Pelodiscus sinensis: one gene and its partner. The protein of the gene in region 1 binds, or shares a complex with, the protein of each later gene. Links are inferred from orthologs where the notes say so. Each region holds a gene or a part of one and is shown on either strand. Other genes may lie near its edges. The genes, in order: BMP10 and ACVRL1.

Region 1 (11,082 bases):
ATTACATGGCATTTTTACAGCCACTCAGGATAGATTCAAATGCCACCCAGCCAATTAGCAGAGCCCCCACAGATAGGTTTTTGTGCCTGCTGGTGATGCACATCCACACATGCCTCAGTGCACATAAAATGTATTACACACAGAGATGGACAAAATCCATACATGGACGGAAAAGATTAGAAGGAACATTGTAAGCAACCCCATGGCTCTGATGCAAGTCCCCTTGAGGCCAATGGGTTTCTTTCTGTGGATTTCAGTGGGAGTGGGGTAAGGCCCTATGTTCACAGCTGATTTGCTTTAATCCCGAAATAACTACCTGTTAAATAAACATGGCCGAAGAGCGGTGCTTTTTTGAGCGCTCTTGAGTGCTAATTGAAATGATCTTTCTGTTTTTATGCTACTCCCTCACCTGAATCTGCCTAAGGGGCCTTACTGTGTTTTGGGCAGGTTATCAGGTTAGCTACCAATAATAAAAAAGGTACCACCAGCCACTGGGCCAGGCTGCTACCAGTCCATCCCAGGTTTGTCTGCATCTAAGACTGGCATGCCCAGTAAAGAGTTCTTTCCTGCAAAACTGCCTACCTGCCACATCACTTATTGTTCCAACAAGCACACTGTTTATGCAATAAAGTTAATAAAATTCTTCACACAACACATCGTCAACCCATGGAACTCCTTGCCAGAGGTTGTGAAGTCCAAGGCTATAACAGGGTTAAAAAAAAAGCTAGATAAATTAATGAAGGACAGATCCATCAATGGCCATTAGCCGGAATGGACAGGAATGGTGTCTCTAGCCTCTGTTTGCCAGAAGCAGAGAATGGGTGACAGTGGGTGGATCACTTTTTCTGTTTATTCTAGGGATGGGGAACTTAAGGCCTGGGGGCTGAATGAGGCCCCCGGTTTGTCTGGATCTGGCTGCTGCAACTCAGGGCTCCCCCCCCCCAGCATTGGGGAGACCTCGCTGTGGCTCCAGTCCTCTGCTGTCTCCCTGCAGGGCTGGAGCACACAAAGTCTACTGGGCTGCTCCCCCTAGGCTCTGGTATGTGCGGGGAACGTAGGGAGCGTCTTTCTCCTCAGCCGGGGGCCACATCACTGAGGTTTGGTTGGGTTTGGTTTTTTGTTTTTCTTTTAAACTGGACAGGTTACTGGGCTTGATGGACCTTTGGTCTGGCCCTATATGGCTGTTCTTCTGTTCTAATAACAATAGGAAGGATCAGGAATATTGCCTCTCCAGCTAGCATAGGTTTCTGCGTTTTGTTCAAAGGAAAAAAACCATGTCATTCTTGTAAATGAATTTTAGAGGAAAAATTAACTAACATTTCTAGGTCTACAATTCAGCCTTTTAATTCGGCAAGAAGGCTGCATGGTTTAAATTCTTCATCCTCCAAAGCAAAGGAAACAGGAAACTGCTTTTACACCAGATGTCATCTAGTGGTACTGTACATCTGGCAACCCACCAACAGCTGTACAGAGGCTAAGCCATGTGAGCTAAGACATTCAGCAGTAGGCTGTGTTGCTTACATGAGGTGTTCAACAAGTTCTCAAACAAGAAAGGAAACACGAAGAAATTTACAATGGTTGAGCTGTAATTCTGCTTGTAACAAGGTACTGGCACATTTGTAGCTTTCAGAGACATGTGTCAGATTCCCACATGTGCTCCAGCCTTTACTTAGGCAACGGTGTCTGCTGGCTGCAGAATGTGCCAGTCATTGTAAAGCTTTGTGATTTTATAGCCAAACTAGCAGACTTACCCAGTGTCGCCCAGGCCCTTGAAGGTAGGGCTTTGGTGATGTGGAGGGGAGGGTGTGCAGGATGCAGTAGACAGAGGGGGGCAATAGTGAGGGTTGTTCCTTCCCCCCAGTCTGCCCTAGCCTACCAGGGGCTGTTCTCTCCCTGCCAAGGCTCTCCCATCTGCCTCCAGGGGGCCTGTTCTCCAACTTCACATGCAAGAATGATAGAAACGTGTCCCTGGTCTCTGTCTGTCAGAGGCTGGAGAGGGATGGCAGGAGACAAATCGCTTGATCATTGTCTTCGGTCCACCCTCTCTGGGGCACCTGGTGCTGGCCACTGTCGGCAGACAGGCTACTGGGCTAGATGGACCTTTGGTCTGACCCAGTACAGCCATTCTCATGTTCTTATGATAAATGCACAAAAATAGTATATAAACATTCAGCAGACTGTCTATTAAAACTGATAGATTATATGAGGCATATATATATGTCTAAAGCATCTTCATAATATGCATATTCATATTCATAAGCCAATATTCATTAAGTTTGGGAGGGGCACGACAGCACTAATTTGTAACTTTCTTAATCTCCGTTTCATTATGGATGTAAGGTCACCTCCCCAGTGCTGCATGGCCAAGAGATGAATCATTCAAAAAAGGAAGGTTGCGAGTCCACTTTTTTGAATAAATAGCAATCAGTGGGATTCAGATCCAAAATCTCACAAAGTTTTTGGCTGTTCAGCGTCACAAAACCACAAGCTCATAGACTCATAGATAGCCATGCAATTCAGATCCTGCTCTGAATGCTCCTTCAAGGTTCAGGATCAGCTGCTTCTGAGTGGACCTATGTGTAACAATAAAAATGAGGAAAAACTTAAAAAACAACAAATAGTCTGGTAGCACTTTAAAGACTAACAAAATATGTAGATGGTATCATGAGCTTTTGTGGTCATGTCCCATTCCTTCAGATGACCAGAGCATTGGATGTCAATTAGGGTATGTCTAGACTACATGGCTCCGTTGACGGAGCCATGTAGATTTGTTTTTTTGGCAAAGGCAAATGAAGCCGCGATTTAAATAATCGTGGCTTCATTTAAATTTACATGGCTGCCACGCTGAGACGACAAACAGCTGATCAGCTGTTTGTCCGCTCAGCGCGCTAGTCTGGACGCTCCCCTGCCGACATCAAAGCCCTTTGTCGGCAGCCCCGGTAAACCTCATCCCACGAGGAATAACGGGGCTGCCGACAAAGGGCTTTGATGTCGGCAGGGCAGCGTCCAGACTAGCGCACTGAGCGGACAAACAGCTGATTAGCTGTTTGTCGGCTCAGCGCGGCAGCCATGTAAATTTAAATGAAGCCGCGATCATTTAAATCAAGGCTTCATTTGCCTTTGCCTACAACCCTAATCTACATGGCTCCATCGATGGAGCCATGTAGTCTAGACACAGCCTTAGGTTGGTCATTTAGGCCTGGTCTACATTAAAGGAGAAAGTCAACTTCAGATATGCAACTCCAGCTATGTTAATTATGTAGCAGGAATCAAAATATCTTAAATTGCATTTTGGCACCATTCACACGCAGGAGGTCAACAGCAGCACATGCTCCCTTCGACTTCCCTTACTCCTCGTAGGAGCAGGACTACCGGCACCGATGGGAGTGCCCTCTCAGTTCGAATTAGCAGATCTTCACTACACTCGCTAATTCAAACCCCGGAAGATCGACTGAGGCAGCCACAGTCTTCTCTGTAGTGTAGACAAGCCCTTACTGTGTTAAACTGCCGTGGTAAAAAGGCAAGCTGTTTGAGAGGAGAGTTTCTGAATGAAGCAAAATAGCAAAGGGACACACAAATATATGGCTCGGTGCTCTTAATGAACAGTGCTCTCTGTGAATATAATCTGAATAAATACAATTATCCTTGTTCAAAATTGCATCGTGAAGTGAGCTAGAGTTGTTTCCCTTGTGCCAAGATGGCAGTTGACCTATTTGAGAAGAAACAGCATCTGGACAGTCACAATAAATAGATGTACCAAATGGACAGGATGTGCTCAGTCCTAACTGAGGAGTGGAATTGTCCAAGGCATGTCTACACAGAAGCATTATTTCTGAATAACTGATGTTATTTCGAAATAAGAAAATGAGTGTCTATACAGCAAGCCGTTATTTCGAAATAATGTCAAGCTGGAGGGCTTCTTACTACAACTCCTGTAACTCTCATTTCACGAGGAGTAAGGGAAGCGGAAGGAAGAGTGCTCTTCCTTCGACTTCCTGCTTTATAGACAGTGCGTAAAGCCGAATTAAGCTATTTTGGTTTCAGCTACACAATTGACATAGCTGAAGTTACGTATCTTAATTTGACTTTTGCCCTGCTGTGTAGACGTGCCCCAACAGAGCTTTGCTATTTCAGTCAAACCATGCGCTCTTTAGTTCTTGCAGATATACCTCACAATGAAGTCAGACACCTTCTGCTACTAACAAAGAGATTCTCCTTTGCATCAAAGGGTGGAAGGCTGGGTGTTTGGCTCAAAAGGCATGCGTTCTAATTTTCCTGTCACAGGGAAGTTCCCTGTGAACACTGGGCCAGAACAGAGACAGATATGGTCACAATTTTCAACTTACATGGTTGCTTTGGTTTTACTCATTTGTCTGCAGTCCTCAAACTTTTTGGAAATTTCAAAAATCTGACCATCCCCACACCCCAGCCCAGAATTTGTTTTTTCCGGAAACACACTGAACATTTTCCATGAAAACTGTGCTGTGGTTTTCAACCCGATCTGCTCATAACATCCTGCCCCTGAGCCACGGCGCGTTGATGTGGCCAGAAGTAATGCTGGTGTCTCTGCAGCAGACTAGAGGTCCCTTGAAGTTTAGTTTCATGCCAGTTACAGCAAAGCTCTCTGGCGGGGGATGGTATGACGGCAGCATATGGAACAGAGCTTGAGTGAATGTAACCTGCCATGCCAGACACATAAGAGGCGTGGGAGAAAGGCGGCATTTTAGGAGCCAGTTGCAATTGTTTCAGTGCTCCCTGCTGAGTTTGTTTCTACACATTTCTGTGGAGCCCGTCCCCAGAACAGCAGGTGTTCAATGGGAACCTGTGGTTTCTAGAGAGAATAACTAGCTAAAATATCTGATATTAGGAAATCTGATATTAGAAATGGCAATATACAAAATTATCACAAATCTGATATTAGGAATGGCAACATACAAAAACCTGTAGGGGAACACTTCAATCTTTCTGGACACACAATTGCAGATCTAAAAGTAGCCATCCTGCAGCAAAAAAACTTCAGGACCAGACTTCAAAGAGAAAAACTGCTGAGCTACAGTTCATCTTTAAGTTTGACACAATCAACTCTGGATTAAACAAAGACTGTGAATGGCTTGCTAACTACAAAAGCAGCTTCTGCTCTCTTGGAATTCACACCTCCAGATCAGCTGCTAGAAGTGGGCCTCATCCTCCTTGATTGGATCCACCTGGTCATCTCCAGCCTGATCCTGGCCTGCATATTTATTCCTGCCTCTGGAAATTTCCACTACATGCATCTGATGAAGTGGGTCTTTGCCCACGAAAGCTTATGCTCCTACACTTCAGTTAGTCTATAAGGTGCCACAGGACTCCTCGTCGCTTTTGCAGATTCAGACTAACACGGCTACCCCTCTGATACTTAGCTAAAATAAACACCACTAAAAACATTTGCTAATTGCCTTCTATTTGTACAGGACAAGCTGGTGGTGGCAGCCCAGGGGCAAAATGGAGAACCAGGAACAGCTCTGTTGGCCATGCCCAACCTCATCCCTGCCTGCGTTTCTCCTGTTCCCAAAGCCCCTTTCCACAAGGAAGCCCTGCATGACACACCAGCCCAGATGCAAGGAGCGCAAACTCTCTGCTTCCTACTGCTTGATAGAATCACACCAGTTTCACTGCATTTAGCACCTCCCGTGGTGTTTAGATTGTTTGTTATTTATATTATCAGGGTGCCTAGGAGCCACAGGCATGACTCCCATTGTGCAGGTGCGTACAAACAGAACAAAAGGATGGGCCCTGCCTCAAAGCGCTTTTCAGCCAAGTAAAGACTTTCCTTGGGCTGGAGAGTTTACTAACTCTTAATATTGAAGGAGGCTTTTGTTTACTGTTGGTACAGAATACAAAATCCTAGACGTAGGCTCTGTGTCATTTGCATGTTTGCCTGAAAGCATAACAAAGTTGCATGGATAAAACTTGGCCATACATGCCAAAGAAAGTCAGCTCCAAGGGAGAAAGAAAGGGCAGATCCTGTCCAAGGAGAAAATTGTCGTATCTCAATATGTCCAAGTGCAGAATGTTTACAAAATGCTCATTAAGGGAAAGGGGGTTTGTGAGATAGCAACAGAAAATCTGGTGGACAGCTTACACTGCAAGAGATAAGAGAGGCAAGGCTACCATAGGCGAGCGTGTGTTATATCCAATTACTGAGACCTGGTTTTGGAGGGTGTGTGGGGAGGCGGGAGAGAGAGTGAGGACTGATCACAAGTTTCAGGCAAGGGCTTCCAAACTTGTCAAGTCTGTGACACAAGCTGCGCACAAACCAGGGGATAAAATAGCCACTTAGCGCACACAAGAGCTAAACCTTGGTGAGTGCGGCTGGACGCTAACGCGAAGGAATGGATACTGTTGCCATTCAGTTGTGGGCAACCCTCTCTCTGCTGGTGCACCTTGCTGCTTGCAGCCCCATCATGAGCCTGGAGCAGTCGTCCCTGGAAGAAGATGTGCCCCTCTTTGATGAACTCCTTTCAGAGCAGGAAGGTGTCGATTTCAACACGCTGCTTCAGAACATGAAAAATGAGTTCCTGAAGACGCTGAACCTTTCTGACATTCCCCTGCATGAAAAGTCTAAGGTGGAGCCCCCAGAGTACATGTTAGAGCTGTACAACAGGTTTGCCACTGACAGGACCTCAATGCCATCGGCAAATATTGTTAGAAGCTTCAAAAATGAAGGTAAGATCCATGCTCCTCTGTGAACGAAGAATAACTGGGCATTGCTCAGAACCGACAAGGCACTTCTTCCCAATGTGTGGAGCAAGACGACTTAATTGGGGAGAAAAGGAGTTGACAGTGATTAGATAGAGATGCAACTGGAGCTAGGGAACTAGCATGGCCTGTGTCTATAATGAACAGCTCACATTGCTTGTCTGATGTAATCTCGCCCTCCTTATTTTATATCCTTGAGCCAGTGAGCGTTCTGGGGCAGGAGCAATGTCTTCCTTTGTGTTTGTGTATTGTGGGTGTATTTATTTATAAATAAATTGTCATAGTTCCAGGAAGCATATGCATCATTTATATGTTACCTTCATACGCATCCGATTTTTAAATGGAGATGGCAACTTATCTTCCTTATTTGATTAATGAGAAAAGGCCTCTTTCACCACCCATGCAATAGTACAAATTCTCATTTGGAAAGCCAAATTTCTTCATGGATTCCCAACCAAACAACAAATGGCTTTCTGGAAATATTTTCCCAATTTAGTTCCTCAATTATTGTGTAAAATAAGGTCAGTAGAATATATAGAAATGTGTGCGGCTAGCATCTCTCTATAACAACTTTTGCCTCACCATTTATTTTTGAGAGAATAAAATTTGTAGTGATTAGACAGGGATGCATGCCTTTTTTCAAAAAAGGTAACTAAAATTTTATAGAATTATGAGTTTAGACTGTTACGAATATTGCGCAATTCAACATTTTCCTGAAATTTCTACACAATTCGGGGAATAAAAAGCTCTCATGCTATTACTGATTCTTCATGCATGAGTACCAATATGGAATATGGGTTGAAAAGGCTTTTCAGAAAATCATTATGTCCCAAAGTAGCAGTCTCAATTTTACTGATGAAGTTCACAACTACAAGATAACAGAGCAAAGACTGAGCCTATGTAACCTAAATTTGACAACTCAGTTTTAGATTCTATAACTGCTTGTGGGCTAATCTATACCTTGCTCAGACGCATGCATTCTTATCAAGCTACATGTTTCTGGTTTTAAAAGGCTCCGCTTTACAGTTCAAATCCACTTTAACTTTGCATTTCTTCTACATATAGACAGCATTTAATTCATTGAGGGCTGCACTGAAAGTGACTTATGCATACTGAAGACCTCAGGGCAATTTGTGTGTAGAGAAGGGATTCACAATCTGGCCCTGAAGGAATATGGAATAATGATTCTGACACTTACAATTTTAAGATGAAAAGTAATAGGAAAACTAATGGACTGTAATTGGGAAAGCAGAGTATACTGAGTGGAGAATGCTATGTGTTTTACTAGTGTACATATGCAGTAATTCCATTAGTTACAATAGAATCATTCCAGATTTATATTGCTACTTAGAGGATTTGCCCACTGTTGCTCAAGTCCTTAACTGAAATAATTTTAAAAACAACAAGCAGTCCTATGGCACCTTAGAGACTAACAAATATAGAATATTATGAGCTTTTGTGGGTAAAACCCACGTCATCAGATGAACTAATTTTTCTTCATTTGATTCATTGCTCTCGGGAGGGGGGGGGGGTCAGTGTGCAGGCTGCCCTGGGGAGAGAGGATAACCCCAGCCCTCTGTCACCACAGCAGCTTGGGGCCAGGGAGAAGTGCCTGTTCATGGAAACTGCTGGGGGAGGGGTGCATATCTCCCAGCTGGGCAACACACAGACAGACAGACACACACACAAACTCTCTCAAATATATAATAGATACTATCCTTTTCTCCACCCCGTGCACTGCTGCCCCAATAGGATTATAACTGTCCCATTCCCCATCTCTGGCCCCTTGCTGTCCCCCTGTGGTCATTATACACTATAACTGTCCCTCTTAGCAGACCCCTCCCTTTCTGTTTTGTGGGAAACACTCACATTCCAGGCACATCCCATTGTCTTGGCACAACCAAACCCTGACCTTGCTTTAAGTTTTGATAAGAGGAAGCTGCCTACCAAATTTGGTGTTCCTAGCTCTTACTGTTTAGGAGGAGTTCTTGAACAAACAGACTCACAGATGGACAGAGAAACACAGACACACAAACTCTCTCAAATATATAGTAGATTGATGACATCAGAATCCATCCTTCATTTTTAGTAAATGGAACAATGCAAAGATCCATTAATTTTCATAAACACAACAGTTTCCAAGCAGCGTGTTCATCACCACAAAGTCTGCAATGGCAATGTCAAATGCAGAGTAACTTACTACCTTCTCAGAAGGTTCCTGTCCTTTCTTCTAGTCCACAACTTCAGAAATAAATTCAGATACTTGTATTCTAATGCAAATGCTCTCCATAGGCACATGTATACCACAGAGGGTCTATTTCAATTGTCTCTGCTTTGTATGTCTAAAAAGTCATTAACAATTAGGGAACCTGGATTATATGGCACATGAGTAAACTAAAGTGCTTGCATTTATTACTGATAAAAGAGATGGAACAGATCACACCGTGCAATGTTTATACTCATCAGCTTGTGGTAGTAGATGATGATAATGGAAATTGCATGGTTGAAAGCAGTAGAACTTGATGACAGTTGTTCATTAGCGGTTTTAGCTCATGGAGTTGTCTGGCTCTGTTGCAGCTTGGATTGTAATGTGGTCGTTGCTTAAAAACTGAAATAAAGCTTTCTGGGCTAATTTGTCCTCCTTCAGACACCAGTGTGTCCTCATTGACACCAATGAGGATGTACAGGAAATAGTGAAGAGTATTTGACCCTTTGAGTTTTCTTGCTCAGTCTGTCTTGTGGGCAGTTGCCAGTTCTGATTTATTTTTCTCCCTAATCAGGAAGCGAGACACCCAGTTTCCCACAAGAGTGTGTCTCTATCCCTTCCAATGATTGATTCATGTCCATTTTCTGTGACTTTTCCCCACCCCAAGACCATATGTATCATCATAACAGTGGACTTGTTCTCCAGCAGCCTGGGGGTGGAGGTGGGCGATAGGGCTGAGGGGCTGTAGATCACTGAGTTCTGGTGCCACTTCCAGTTGTGAAGTGGGACACATTCACTAGACAGACAGCCTATGGATTTACAAACATCAACAAATTCCAAAGACCGATTAAAGTCAATTATTCATGTGCTGATGTGCTTCGCTAGCTCAGGGCCAATATTTGTAGCTTCGTCAACCAAATGTTTCCATAAATGTATCAATCCCAGAGTCATAGAAATCTGAGATGGGAAAATGTACAGGATCCATGCAGTCCATCCCCTCAGCTCCTGTCAGCATGTCCGCTAAGTCTCTATTTCCCAACCTGGTTTCAGAGTCATTATTGAATGAAATGTAGCAATAAATACAAAGCATTTTGTTAAATTGCCCATATGTATGAAGAAATGCAGATGGGGCATGTATAAACATGATGGATAAATAGATAGATGATCATTTGTTTGTTATACATCTGATTCATTAATACTCTCAAAAGCTAAGTATGTACAGTAGTTTTCTTTTGCTCTTTTCAAGACAGATCCAAACACCACTGATGTCAATGGGAATATTTCCATGGCTTTATTGGGTCTTGGCCCAAGACCCGAGTTCCCATTCCTCCTAGTTACAAGCCTTTGCATCACCCTAAACAATTTGTCTCTTTCCTTGAGGGTCACACTCTTCAGTCACTGGTGGAAGTTTATGGTAGCATTTGTTGCCACTGGGAGATCTGTGCACTCTGCATCCAAGACAGCAGATCAGCACTAGGGATTTTAATGTGTTGTATCAACTCACCAGTGAAGATACAAATTCACCTGAGGAGTATGGGACTGTGCACTGGGGATGAACTGAGGGAAAAGGAGATCATACTATTTATGAGGGGAATCTATTGGATACTCTATAGAAAGTTAGGTCCCCTCTTAATAGATAAAAAGATAAACAGATCCGAATGCAGCCTTCCTTCACTGCAGGAACAGTTTGTGTCCCCCTCTGCCCCATCTCCAATCCCCTATGTCCCTTCGGTTGGAATAGAATTCCTCTTCCCTTCCTGCCCTAAACTTTCTGTAATGTCAATAGTCACATGTTAAACAGCTGCTGTATTTGCACTCCAGAGATGGCTTCATTTCGGTGCTGGGCAAAGCAGTTCCTCTACACAATAAACATAATGTGTACGATCAGAAAGGATGTTGTATAAAGCACTTTGATAACCACATTAAAGAGAGCTATAAATCCCCCTTCATTGCCATTACCATAATCTGACCTAGTTTTCCTTCAAGATCCAATATAAACCTTCTACCTCACTGACAATCAATTATTCCTATTTATCCTCATTTTCCTGTTCCTGGAAAGCAAGGAATATCAGGCATGCAAGGCTAGGGTCCATGCATGCACATTTCTGTTGGAAATATTTGCAGTTCTTAAGTGTTTA
Region 2 (11,437 bases), on another chromosome or scaffold:
TGATTTTGCAGTCAAGGACCAGGGCCTGCTCTCCGGCATTAGGTAACACGCTCAATTGGCATCCAGTTGGAGCTGCCCCAATCCCATCCCCCAGCAGCAGATAAAATACAGCCTCTCGACAGCTCTCCACGCACCCTGCCAGTCCTGCAGCAGGAGCTCTGGGAGCCTGGGGAGGAGCTATCGCTGGGCGGGCAGCGCTTTCGGCATGCGGCGGTAACAGACTGTCTGTCATCTAGAGATGCCTAAGCAAGCCGGGCCACTGCCTTGTAAAAGGGTCAAAGAAACATGGACCGGAGGGACCCTGGGGTCTCAGACCTGGAGAGGGGAGAGCAGGCGAGCAGCAGGCCCTGAGCAAACCACAGCTCCGTGCCCAGCGCCCGGCAGAGGTTCCTGCAGCTGGATCTTGAATCCCTCAAAGCAGGACTGGTTATTGTTCTAGGTGGCCCAGAGATGGCCAGGCAGAACCCAGGGAGCAGCTTCCCATTGACACGGGGGTGTATCTAGCAAGGCTGTTCCACCCGCTACCAGCCACGGTCGGGGGAGGGTTAAAAGGCCCCGTGCTCAGAGCCCTCTGAGTCTGGATGTAGAATAACCTTTGATTTGGGGGGTTAGGTCTCGTTTTGCTGGGTGCCAGGCAGGCTGCCTCTGCCCTCAGGCCTTGAGACTCTAAATCCTTAGGCTCCCTCTGTCTCCCTGCCAGGCTAAAATAGCCCTTTGGGGATTTGGATGCTTGTTTTGTGTCTTGCTGCTATTGGATGCGACACAGCTGCTGTGTTCCTCCCCAGAGGTGGCTGCCTAGGAGTGGTGAGAACAGGGGTGTCAAGAGGCTCCGACTGACCTTTGGTGGGGCGTTTTGGAGGGACAGGCCTACAGCCATAGGGAGAGCAGCTCACACTGCTCCCCTTCCTCCCTTGGCTCATTCTCAGATTCCTCCCTGTGTGGTTTCCTTCCTTTGCCAGCTTGCTGGTTCCGCACACATATGGGCTGGGGGCGGGCGGCACATGGAGCAGGCGGATAGCTGCTCCGCACGTGCAGCTCGCCTGGTTCTGACAGCGGGCAGGGGAAGGGAGCACCAGCAAGAACAGGAGCATCAGGGGGACACTTGGATTCTGGCTGCACTGAAGAAAGGGGATTTATCGGGCTGACTAGCACGTGCGACTCTGGCCTCCGTCCTGTATGCATGCAAAGCAGGGTGCCTTTATGTCCTCTATTCTTCTCAAGACCAGAGGTGAACGGAAGCCGGTGAGCCCTGGTGTAGCATGCCGGCAAGAAGCAGCCGGCTGGGGCTCTGCAGGCTGCCTTGTTAAGCGGCAGGTAGCCAGGCAGGAGAAAGGGTTTGGGGTGTGTGCGTGCCCTGCCCCCATCCAGGGCTGCCCCGGCCCTGCCCCCCCGGCACCTTTTCAGGGGGGTAGGAGGGCTGCAGCCACACGTACAGGGTCTTCTTCCTCTTCCCCTATCAGGAAGCGAGGGGAAAATGCTCAGCGTGTGCCTTCCTCTCGCTCCCAGCTGCCGGGGAGGGCCGGGGCAGAAGAGGATGCAGCAGGCTGTGAGGTTTCCCCTCACTCCCCGAGAGTCAGAGGAAGAGGAAGAGGAAGAAGAGCAGCAGCGACCTACTATGGGCAGCTGCCACCTCCCCTCGCCTCCCGCCCGTCCTCCCAAAAGGGCACCCCCGCCTGCACTCACCCCTACAGCTACGGTCACCAGGGTGTCCGGTTTTGAGCTTTCTGTCCAGGAAACAAATAGAGAAAATACCAAACGTATAAATGTCCGGTATTTTCTAGTGAAATAAGTTTTATTATTCTCATGAGTATCACTATGTAGTTGTGTACTGCCTGGCTGGTAGCCGCGCTCACACTGCATGAACATGTCTACCAGCCAGGCAGTGCACAGCTATGCAGTAGAGAGGGGGCGGGGGTGGGGGCGGGGGCGGGGGCGGGGTGGGCTGGAATCCCCTGGGCCAGACTCACCCGTGCACTCCGCCAGGACCGTGCGTGGGACGGGCAGTGCCCTGGGATCTGCGTGTGCCCGGGCCAGCCCTGCTTCCCGCCGGACGGTTCCCCACCCCACTTCCCCCCACCCAGCTAGTTCTGCTCCCCCCGACCTCCTCCCTGCCAGCCCTGCTCCCCACCGGTCGGTTCCCCCCAATCTCCCCCAGCCAGCCCCGCTCCCCCCGACCTCCTCCCTGCCAGCCCTGCTCCCCACCGGTTGGTTCCCCCTGATCTACCCCAGCAAGCCCCACTCCCCCCGACCTCCTCACGTCCAGCCCTGCTCCCCACCGGTCGGTTCCCCCCGATCTCCCCCGGCCAGCCCCGCTCCCCCCGACCTCCTCACGTCCAGCCCTGCTCCCTACCGGCCAGTTCCCCTCGATATCCCCCAACCAGCCCTTCTCCCCCTGACCTCCTCACATCCAGCCCTGCTCCCCCCGACCTCCTCCCTGCCAGCTCTGCTTCCCGCCGGATGGTTCCCTCCGATCTCCCCTGGCCAGCCCCGCTCCCCCCGACCTCCTCCCTGCCAGCTCTGCTTCCCACTGGATGGTTCCCCCCACTCCCCCCGACCTTCTCACAACCAGCCCTGCTCCCCCCGACCTCCTCACAACCAACCCTGCTCCCCCCGACCTCCTCACATCCAGCTCTGCTCCCCACCAGTCGGTTCCCCCCAACCTCCTCCCTGCCAGCCCTGCTCCCCACCGGCCGGTTCCCCTCGATCTCCCGCGCCAGCCCTGCTCCTCCCCCCCCCCCATCTGAGATCAGGTGTATCTGGTATTTTTGTCAAAATCATCTAGAAACGCTACTTACAGCCCCCAGCCCTGCCCCCCCTCCCACCCCTGCGGCCTGACTCCTGAACACCCCACAGCTCCCTGTCCAGGGCCCCCTATGCACTCTATGCAAGTGTCCTCTGTTCTGGAGGTACCTCGATGGCCACCCTAGTGTGTGTGCATCTCTGCTGTCCACGGCTCCAATGTGTATCCTAGGCCCTGGGCTTCTCCCAGCAGCGGGGGAGTCTCCAAAGAGAGGCTGGGTTTGGAGGCAGAGTGTAGCAGAAATTTGGCCCTGAGGCCCTGCCCTGATGCAATTTCCAACCATTCTCAGGTGGCAGGGCTCAGGGTGCTCCATTTACCAGCTGAGAGATGGCAGTGGAGCAGAGCAGGCTGCTGGGTCACTCTGCTTTATGCCGCAGTGAAAGGGGGAGCCCCCGACCCCTGCTGCCCCCTGCACCAGCCCCCCAGTAATTTCTTGTGTCGTATCTCTCGGGGGAGAGGGTGCAATGTGGGTGGGAGGGCAGGGGTGGAACAGGGTCAGGAAGAGGCGTGGCCTGACTCCTGAACACCCCACATCTCCCTGTCCCCCTCTGCCCCCGCCCCCCTCGTGCTGGCCCCATCCGGATGGTCTATCTGGCTGTGGGCATGTTGGCCTGATGCCTTTGAAGAGGCTTTCTCTATTTATATACATTCCTCCAGCAAACAATGAGTTAACGAGCCCTGAACTCGACCTTTTTAAAAAAGAATCCAGTGGTGCTATATAAGAGCCAAACTCCTCTCTCCCAGAGGGCCGCATGGAGGAGGGGGAGCGGCTCCAGCCATTGGCTGGTTAGAACCAGAGTCAAGAATTGCTTCCTTACGCCGCCCAGACTGTGCTGTCCTTTCTCATGGTCTGAACCTTCCCCCCACCCCCCCCCCAGCCCCCCATTCCCTTTGGGCCTTCTAGCCCGAGACCCCCAGGCCGGCCGGCGCTGAGCTTCCCGTTAGCTGGCGGGCCGTCCCCGTGACTCCGTCGGATTTCCCGGGCGCTCCACGTTGAGCGAGGTAGGACACGATGCGCCTGCCGCCCTGGGACACGGGCGGGCGAGGAACAGCCCTGGGAGGCACTGCTCTCATCAGGCTGCTGGGATTTCAGAGCAGGAGCAAAGCTAGTGCATGAGATTGGAGAACCAGAGGCGGCCCAGGCAGCTTTCTGCAGGCCCAGCCTTCCTCTCCCCCTCAGCACAGCAGCGGCCCCGTTTATTGCACAAATTCCAGGGACTCTGGGGCCACAAATCCGGCCCCCCCCAACCTGCAAGGAACTGAAAGCGCCACATGGTTACCCACAGGCAAGAGTCTTTCACAGACAAAGAGTCAAATGTGGCCATTTGCCTGTGACCGAAACAGCAGGTTCTGAAAACCAGAATGAAACGGGATCTGGAAAAACGAGCGGGCAGGGCCAAACAGGCAACTGATGCATCAAAGTTTTAGTTACAGGGGGATAAGGGCAGTAGATGGGAGTCGGGACCCTCGGGTTCTGTTCCTCGCTCTGGGAGCAATGGCGGCCTAGTGGCTACAGCAAGCAGGATGCCTGGGTTCTGGTCCCAGCACCGCGTGACTGTAAGTAAGCATCTTTCCCTCCGCTATCAAGGTGTGGGCCCAGGATATCGCTGTAGAGATCACATCTCTGCAGCTCAGTTTTGTGTCTACACTGGGACCTAGCACAGCTCTCTCCACTGTGTTATACCAGGCTGTTCCACGGTCACACGGGAGGGAGAGCCAGTGACTTCATTACAAAACAGGAGGCGATGCCGGTCCAGCCGTGGCCCCCCGCCCCCTGCTCCTACCCCAATGGATGAGCTACGAGGCCAGGATGGAGCAGTCGGGGAGAGGCCCGAGGTGGGAGGAGAGATCCCTGAATGGGAGAGAGGAAGAGTGAGAAGCAGCTGACTGAGAATGACCCAGAAAAATGAATTTAAAAAGGCTAAAGGGGAAGTGGTGTTTCCGGTCCCCCTCGAGCCCCTGCCAGCTGTGCCAGCCACCCACACAAGCCTGGTGCTACAGAGCAACTTCACAGACATTTGTGGTTAGGCCGGAAGTAGCTCTCCCCCCTCCCCCCGTGGGAATCTGAACACCAGGGTTAACATGTGACTCTTGCAAAAGGGGCCCTGGAGTCTTTGGGACTAGGCTTCAGCATCCCCTGTGAACGACAGCACGCCCAGCCCTAATGGCGTCTGGGGGCAGCATTCTCATACGGGCAGAGCACCTGCACTTCTGCAGCGCAACGCCCCCTAGCCCTGCCCTGGGGCACTGGGAGAGCACCCCTGCACTTTTGTGCAGCACAGCGCCCCCTAGGGATCATTGGGGTCCGCATTGACCGTGAGGGCAGAGCGCCTCCTGCTGAGTCACTTGCAGCACAGCGCCCCCTAGGGATCATTGGGGTCCGCATTGACCGTGAGGGCAGAGCGCCTCCTGCTGAGTCACTTGCAGCACAGCGCCCCCTAGGGATCATTGGGGTCCGCATTGACCGTGAGGGCAGAGCGCCTCCTGCTGAGTCACTTGCAGCACAGCGCCCCCTAGGGATCATTGGGGTCCGCATTGACCGTGAGGGCAGAGCGCCTCCTGCTGAGTCACTTGCAGCACAGCGCCCCCTAGGGATCATTGGGGTCCGCATTGACCGTGAGGGCAGAGCGCCCTCTGCTGAGTCACTTGCAGCACAGCGCCCCCTAGCCCTGCCCTACGGCACTGGGCTCAGCACAGAGGCTATGTCTAGACTGCAAGCCTCTTTCGAAAAAGAGCATCTAGACTACTAGTACTTTTGAAAAAGCAAGCTGCTTTCTCGAAGGAGGGCACCGAGGCAGTCTGGATGCTCTCTTTCGAAAGAGCACAGTTTGCATGACATAGCGCCTTTTTTCGAAAAAAGGCATTATTCTTCGTAAAACGAGGCTTTTCACAGCCGAAAAAACTGCCGCGTTCTTTCCATTTACGCGGCGGCAGTCTAGACGCAGGGGAAGGTTTTTCGAAAAAAGGCCACTTTTTTCAAAAAAACCCTGCAGTCTAGAGTGACAGGAGCAGAGCTTCTCACCAATACGTTGCTACTAACACGTTCCCCAGTTGCCTCCCAGCCCCACTCACAAGTCACCCCTACACTGGCCCCACCTGAGCTACCAGAATCGCTCCCAGAATGCCCTCGCCTGCTCCCACTCCGGCCAAGTAAACTAAGTCAGCTCGATTGCTGCCAAACCCTAGGCTCCTGGCTGCTCCCTGAGGAGGCTGGGTTCAGACACAGGTCCCAGAGCTGGTTTTGACGGGAGACTGAGGCAGGGCCGGGAACACGGCCTAGCCACACACCCTGGCGGGGGGGGGGGGGGGGAGTTGTTTGGCCGGGGCCTGGGAGGGAGGGAGAACAATCGTGATGGAGCAGGGGCCGGTGTGTGCAGGAGGAAGGGAGCTAGGCTGTGGCTGTAGGCTCAGCAATAGGAAATGCTTTATTAGCTGGGAGTGGTGGAGAAAAGCCAGGCAGGAAGAGGCAGTAATAAGAAACATTTTTTGACTTCTCCCACATCCAGAACTCAGAGATCTTGCCAATCCGCCGCGTTTGGGCCACAGGGAGAGAGAGGCCAGCCCCTGGGACTGGGGAGGGAAGCTAGAGGCACACTCCCCTCTCGCCAACTAGGGCAGGCGACAGCCGCTGGAGTAACCACCAGAGCCAAAGCTCTGCCGGGCCAGCGTCCCTTTGCAAATCTGGCAAGGTTGCTGCGTGGAGAGGGGAGGACGGAGGCTGACCCGTGAATCTGCTTCAGGCGGAAGCTCGCAGCGCCTGGGGGGAGCTGGAACCGTGTCCGTCGAAGCCTGGGATCCAGACTCTGTAACCGAAGGAGAATTGCCTCTGGCCCCGGGAACCGGTCAGCACCGCCCCACTGGCAGCAGACAGACAGCCGGATAGAAGACGCCCGGATCTGGGTCAGGCAGGGTTCCGTTGCGTCTCCAGAGGCGCTGCAGAGCCTGCCCGCCCACACGCAGCCTCTCCTCTGGGCCGGTGCTGTCAATGAGAGGGAAGGAGCCGTAGGTGAGTTGGAATGAACTGCTCTCTGGGGGTGTCGGGCTATTCTCAGGTTGCTACCAAAAGCGGAACGCGTGCAACTAAATGGGCCGCTCCTCAGCTCTCGGGAGAGCGCTGCTCGCTCACAGCAGCTGCCCCATATTGTAGCCCCGGCCTCACCCCCTTTGTTTTGTCCCCAGTTGGCTTCCTGCATCAGACTGTTCTTTGGGTCCCCCTTTCTCCACGATGGAGGAGAGACTCTCCGCTTTAGACTCAGATCCACTTTCAGGCACTGCTTGCTTCTGAGATATGCTCTGTGGCTTGAAGATAAATCAGAGTAACCACATTGAAGCCTGCAGGACTTGCACTGCTGCGCTTAGAATCAGGCCTTGTCTCAGTTGCCATCAGTGGGATAGCTCTGGATTGACACCATGGTAACTGAAGTCAGAAACGGGCCCTGAGTCCCTTTTCAGAAGATGACACACTATGTAAACGACCATGATAGGCTGTGCAATGGATCTAGCGCGGGACAAGTCGTGCAATAAAATCTTGCTGCCAGACGGTAGGATTGGAGAGTAGCAAATGTTTTGCAGCTATTTCCAAAAGGCGTTAGGAGAAATGTAGCAAAGTGCAGACTCAATTCTGGTAAATTAGTTGAGATGATGGAATTACAAAGAACTGGGAAATGATTGATATGACAGAGTCGAAGCACCCCGGCTTCTGAAAAGGAAAACTCTGTTCACCAAGCTATTCAAATTCCTGACCGTTTTCTATAAAAGAGCAGACAAAGGAGAACCAATTGACACGATTCATTTAGACTTTCCAAACGGCCTTTTACAAAGTTCCTCATAAGAGGTTACTGAGGCAGCTCAGTAGCCCAGATATCAGAGGCAAAGGGCTATCTTGGGTCAGAAATTGGGTAAGAGATGGAAAAACAAAGATTACAAAGAGATGGTCACCAAAGCAAGTTACCAGCAGGGGCTATTTTGGAGCTGATGTTATTTAATTATATTAATTACTGATCTGGGAACGAAGGAAACCAGGCAGAGTGCACAATTTGCAGAGAACACAAAATGATTTAGGTTAGGCAAGACCGTGTGGAGCTCCAGAGGGACCTAATCAAGTTGAGGGAACGGGCAACATGGTAGCAAATGAAATTCAGCCTAGGATAGAACGCCTCCCCTGCACAGAATTCCTAAACTGCTCAGGAAAGAAAGTCAGGTAGCTCGGCCTTAGCGTAATGTCCCGCCATGTGGAGAAAGCAAATGGAACACTGGGGTGTGCAAGGAAGGGGCTGTTGCTGTCCTGTAGCTGGATAGGATATTCGGGGCTGGAAGGGGGCACGCATCCCAGGAGGGGGTCAGAGAGCTTTGCAGCGTTTGTTGTTTCTAAAAAGCTTCCAGGCTCGAAAAAAATCCCTTTCCCGTTCTCGGCACAAACCAAAAATCAGCCTGGTCCTCCTGTTTCTCTCCCACAGAGAATTTAAGAGAAAATAAACATGTGGGTGGGGAGGGGGCGTCTGGGCTAATTTTCTTTTTTTTTTTTTAAATAACAAAACCTGTTTCTCTGATTTCTAGTGTAGCAACTGCCTGGAGCACAGGGTAGCACAGAGCCCGTGCTGTGCAACACGGCTGCTCAAGGCATCTGCTGGCTCTGGGCACGTTGCACCAGGCATGCCAATGTTTCTGGAACAAATGCCGGGGCAGCCTCTAGGGCTCCGTTCAGCTCCGAAATGGGCCTGAACTAGACCTCGGAGCCAGGTGAATCGGATCTCTGGCTCCAACTCTGCATTGTCTGCAGCCCTAGGGATACAGCATGTGCCTTGGAGCACACCAGTGACCAGCTCCCGAAAGCGTCAGTGGTAGATGTCACTGCCCAGTGCCCCCGGCCAGCGCTGTACTGATGGGCCGGAGGGAGGAGGGGAATCTCTGCAGGTCTCCGATTTAGGTTCGAAGCCCATTGAACTAAACAGAAAAACTCCCACTGAGTTCAGTGGGCTTTTGATCTAGCAACCCATGATCTAGCAACAAATCTAGCCTGGTTTGTCGAGGGCTGAGCACTCCCCCGGCTGCCTCTGACCTCAGGGGGAACCTCGGCACCTCCAACACCAGCCGAAAGCAGCTGTGTCCAGGAAACTGCTTACATCTGCTGCCTCCTGGCACAGGGCTGACACGGGTTGCGGGCCATGCGCTCATGTGCGCTGGGAGCTACTGATTCTCAGGGAAGAAAAATAAGGAACCAGGTCATGCGATAAACAAAAGAGGCTTTTCTGCTCAGGGTTTGCTGGGCGCTAACCCTAGATCTCGCCCTGGTGCGCCTGGGACTGCACAAACCGTGCATCTCATTTGACTGGGGGGGACGGGGATTGCTTTGTTGAGGAGTCTTGTTCCTGCTTTGGTTTCGCATCAGTTCATTAAACTGTTCTCCAGTGTGGCCCACATGGTGCAAAGGGAGCTAGTAGCTCAGGTGAGGAAGGGTGTTGGAAGAGGAGAAAGAGTTAGGTCTCAATCGCCAAACCCTCTGGGGTCCAATTCTCAGAGGTGCTGAGCACCCAAAGCTCCCAGACTTCAGTTGGAGTTAGGGGGCTCTGTGTAATGTAGTATGGTCCTGACCTGGGGGAGGCAGGACTTGAACCCACAACCCTATCCTTCCCAGGTGAGTGCCATAAGGTAGTGGGGCAGACTCCTGTGTGGCCTAGGGTGCTCTCCTGAGGAGGACAGGGGTGTGGGTTCAAGTCAGGCCTGGATGGGATGAAACAGCAGAAAGCTGGCGGCCCTGGGGCAGGTAGGATCAGGGGTGTCCCTGCGGTAAGCTGGGTGCTATGCTTGGGCTGTGGATGACCCTTACTGGCCTCTGTCTGTAAGCACTGCCCAGCGTGGGTTTGCCTTGAGGGCCCTGATGTGTAGACCATGGCCCAACCAGCTCTTACTGAAGAGGGAAGGAGTTTGAACAAAGGAAGGGTGTGGTTTTGGGGAAGAGCTAATTTGACTGGGAAAACATGGAGAGAAGAGACTAAGCAGAGGGCTGGGAGTGGAGGGGCCTATGTCCCCTTGCCCCAAGGGGTCTAGGACTGCCAGCCCCCAACTCCTTATGTCCATGTCACGTCTATTCTGTGCTGTATCCTGGAGAAGCAATAAACCCTCTCTATTCTACTGGCTGGTGGAGTCTCATCATGCTGTAGATGGGGTGCAGGATTAGGGGGGTCCCTGACACACTGCCACACTCAGCACCTCTGAAAATCAGGCCCAAGATCAGGATCCCAAAAACGGAGACTTCCAGACATCTGTCTTGCTCATCTACGCTGCGATCGAGGGCATGCCGCACAGCCGGGGTTAGCCAGGTCTGCAGACTCAGGCTTCAGGGTTGTCCAATGGCAGTGTAGTTCTCCAGGCCCATGCTGGAGCCCAACTCTGAGACCCAGCACAGGACGGTCATGTCCTCTGGGGACAATTCCTGGCCGCGCTGGGTGGTTACACAATGCAAGGCGCTGCCTTTCTGCCATTCGGAGACCTGCTTTGCACCGGGCGCGCGTGTCTCAAGCCCAGGGGCTGGTTAGAATCCAGGCCCGCTGGATGGGAACAGAACGTGCTGGAGGCTCTTGGCATCAGGAGTTTGGTGAGACACAGTCAAGTTCCTTCCAGACACAAGTCCAGAAACCACCATCATGGAAGGCAGATAGACCAAGGCCTGAATGAGCCACAAAGCCTGAGCTGTCACATGCTCAGATGGTCCTCCCATGGCACCATTAGGGCTTCTGATAGAACTGGAGAGGCAACTGTTTCCATTAAAGGAAAATTCTCCAAGGGGGCACTTGGATTTGGAACCAGGTTTTGGCAGGCAGGCAGGATGCCTACAGGCTGGTCCAGTACGGAGAGGACCTCGGGGGTTTCTATCTGACGCCTTTCCCCAGTACTAAGCACACCCCAGATTTATAAAACCAGCTCTGTGCTGCGCGAAGAGCGGAGCTGGCCTTACAGTGACAGTGAGATCCTGGGCCGGCCCATTGCTTGTGGGAGACGGGAGTGGGGCCAAGAGGGCCAAGGAGAGACAGCAAGTCATCTGCCTGCATTCAGAGCCCTGCTTCCTTGTGTGCTCTGAGCCACAGTGGCCGGTGGGGAATGGCAGCTCGGAGCACTCTTCCAGCTTTCTAACTTTGCAGTCTCCACCCACATTCTTAAGAGATGCATCTGTGATAGGTCCTGCCAAATTCACCGTCCATTTTGGGCGATTTCATAGCCCCGGGATTTTAATATATATAAATAAATATATGCAAAGAGCTTCTTTTACACTGACGGGCATGAATACAAAGATTAAGGCAAGATTGCACAATACACAGGCCCCATTTAAGTCAGTTCTGCTGGTATTAATAAAATGCAATATTTACCCGAGTTCCACCCGTATGACAGCACTTTTAATGAGCAATGAGAGTCCAGCACATGTGTGGAAGAGGTGGAATGGACGTTCCTTTAACTGACTATCCTCACCCAGGTTCTCAGCTTGTGTAAACGAATGTGCTTCTATTTATTCCACCGGAGCTACGATGATTTACGGAAGCTGAGGACCTGGTACCTCTATTTATGTATGTGCGGTGCAAAGGGTCAAGACAAGATAAGGTCGCCTCTTCTGTCCTGATTAGCTTGCCAATATGCGGCGCCTCA

What was found.
Region 2: the proteins of BMP10 (region 1) and ACVRL1 are in contact, whole or in part, in a crystal structure (PDB 6SF1), measured with the Homo sapiens proteins. The link is inferred for Pelodiscus sinensis from reciprocal best matches to the Homo sapiens genes BMP10 and ACVRL1. Residues at the interface, in NP_055297.1 of Homo sapiens: Tyr322, Asn357, Tyr358, Pro359, Ala361, Glu362, His363, Pro366, Thr367, Lys368, Ile371, Leu375, Leu378, Lys379, Ser381, Lys386; in NP_000011.2 of Homo sapiens: His40, Val54, Val56, Arg57, Glu58, Glu59, His66, Gly70, Asn71, Leu72, His73, Glu75, Leu76, Phe84, Val85, His87.

What each region holds. Positions count from the first base shown.
Region 1 is NC_134738.1:905,461-916,542, reverse strand, and holds the start of BMP10 (bone morphogenetic protein 10), read left to right. Parts: upstream 1-6,091; 5' UTR 6,092-6,371; coding exon 6,372-6,705; intron 6,706-11,082. UniProt on the Homo sapiens protein: Required for maintaining the proliferative activity of embryonic cardiomyocytes by preventing premature activation of the negative cell cycle regulator CDKN1C/p57KIP and maintaining the required expression levels of cardiogenic factors such as MEF2C and NKX2-5.
Region 2 is NC_134729.1:5,529,912-5,541,348, reverse strand, and holds the start of ACVRL1 (activin receptor type-1-like), read left to right. Parts: upstream 1-6,168; 5' UTR 6,169-6,806; intron 6,807-11,437. UniProt on the Homo sapiens protein: Type I receptor for TGF-beta family ligands BMP9/GDF2 and BMP10 and important regulator of normal blood vessel development. On ligand binding, forms a receptor complex consisting of two type II and two type I transmembrane serine/threonine kinases.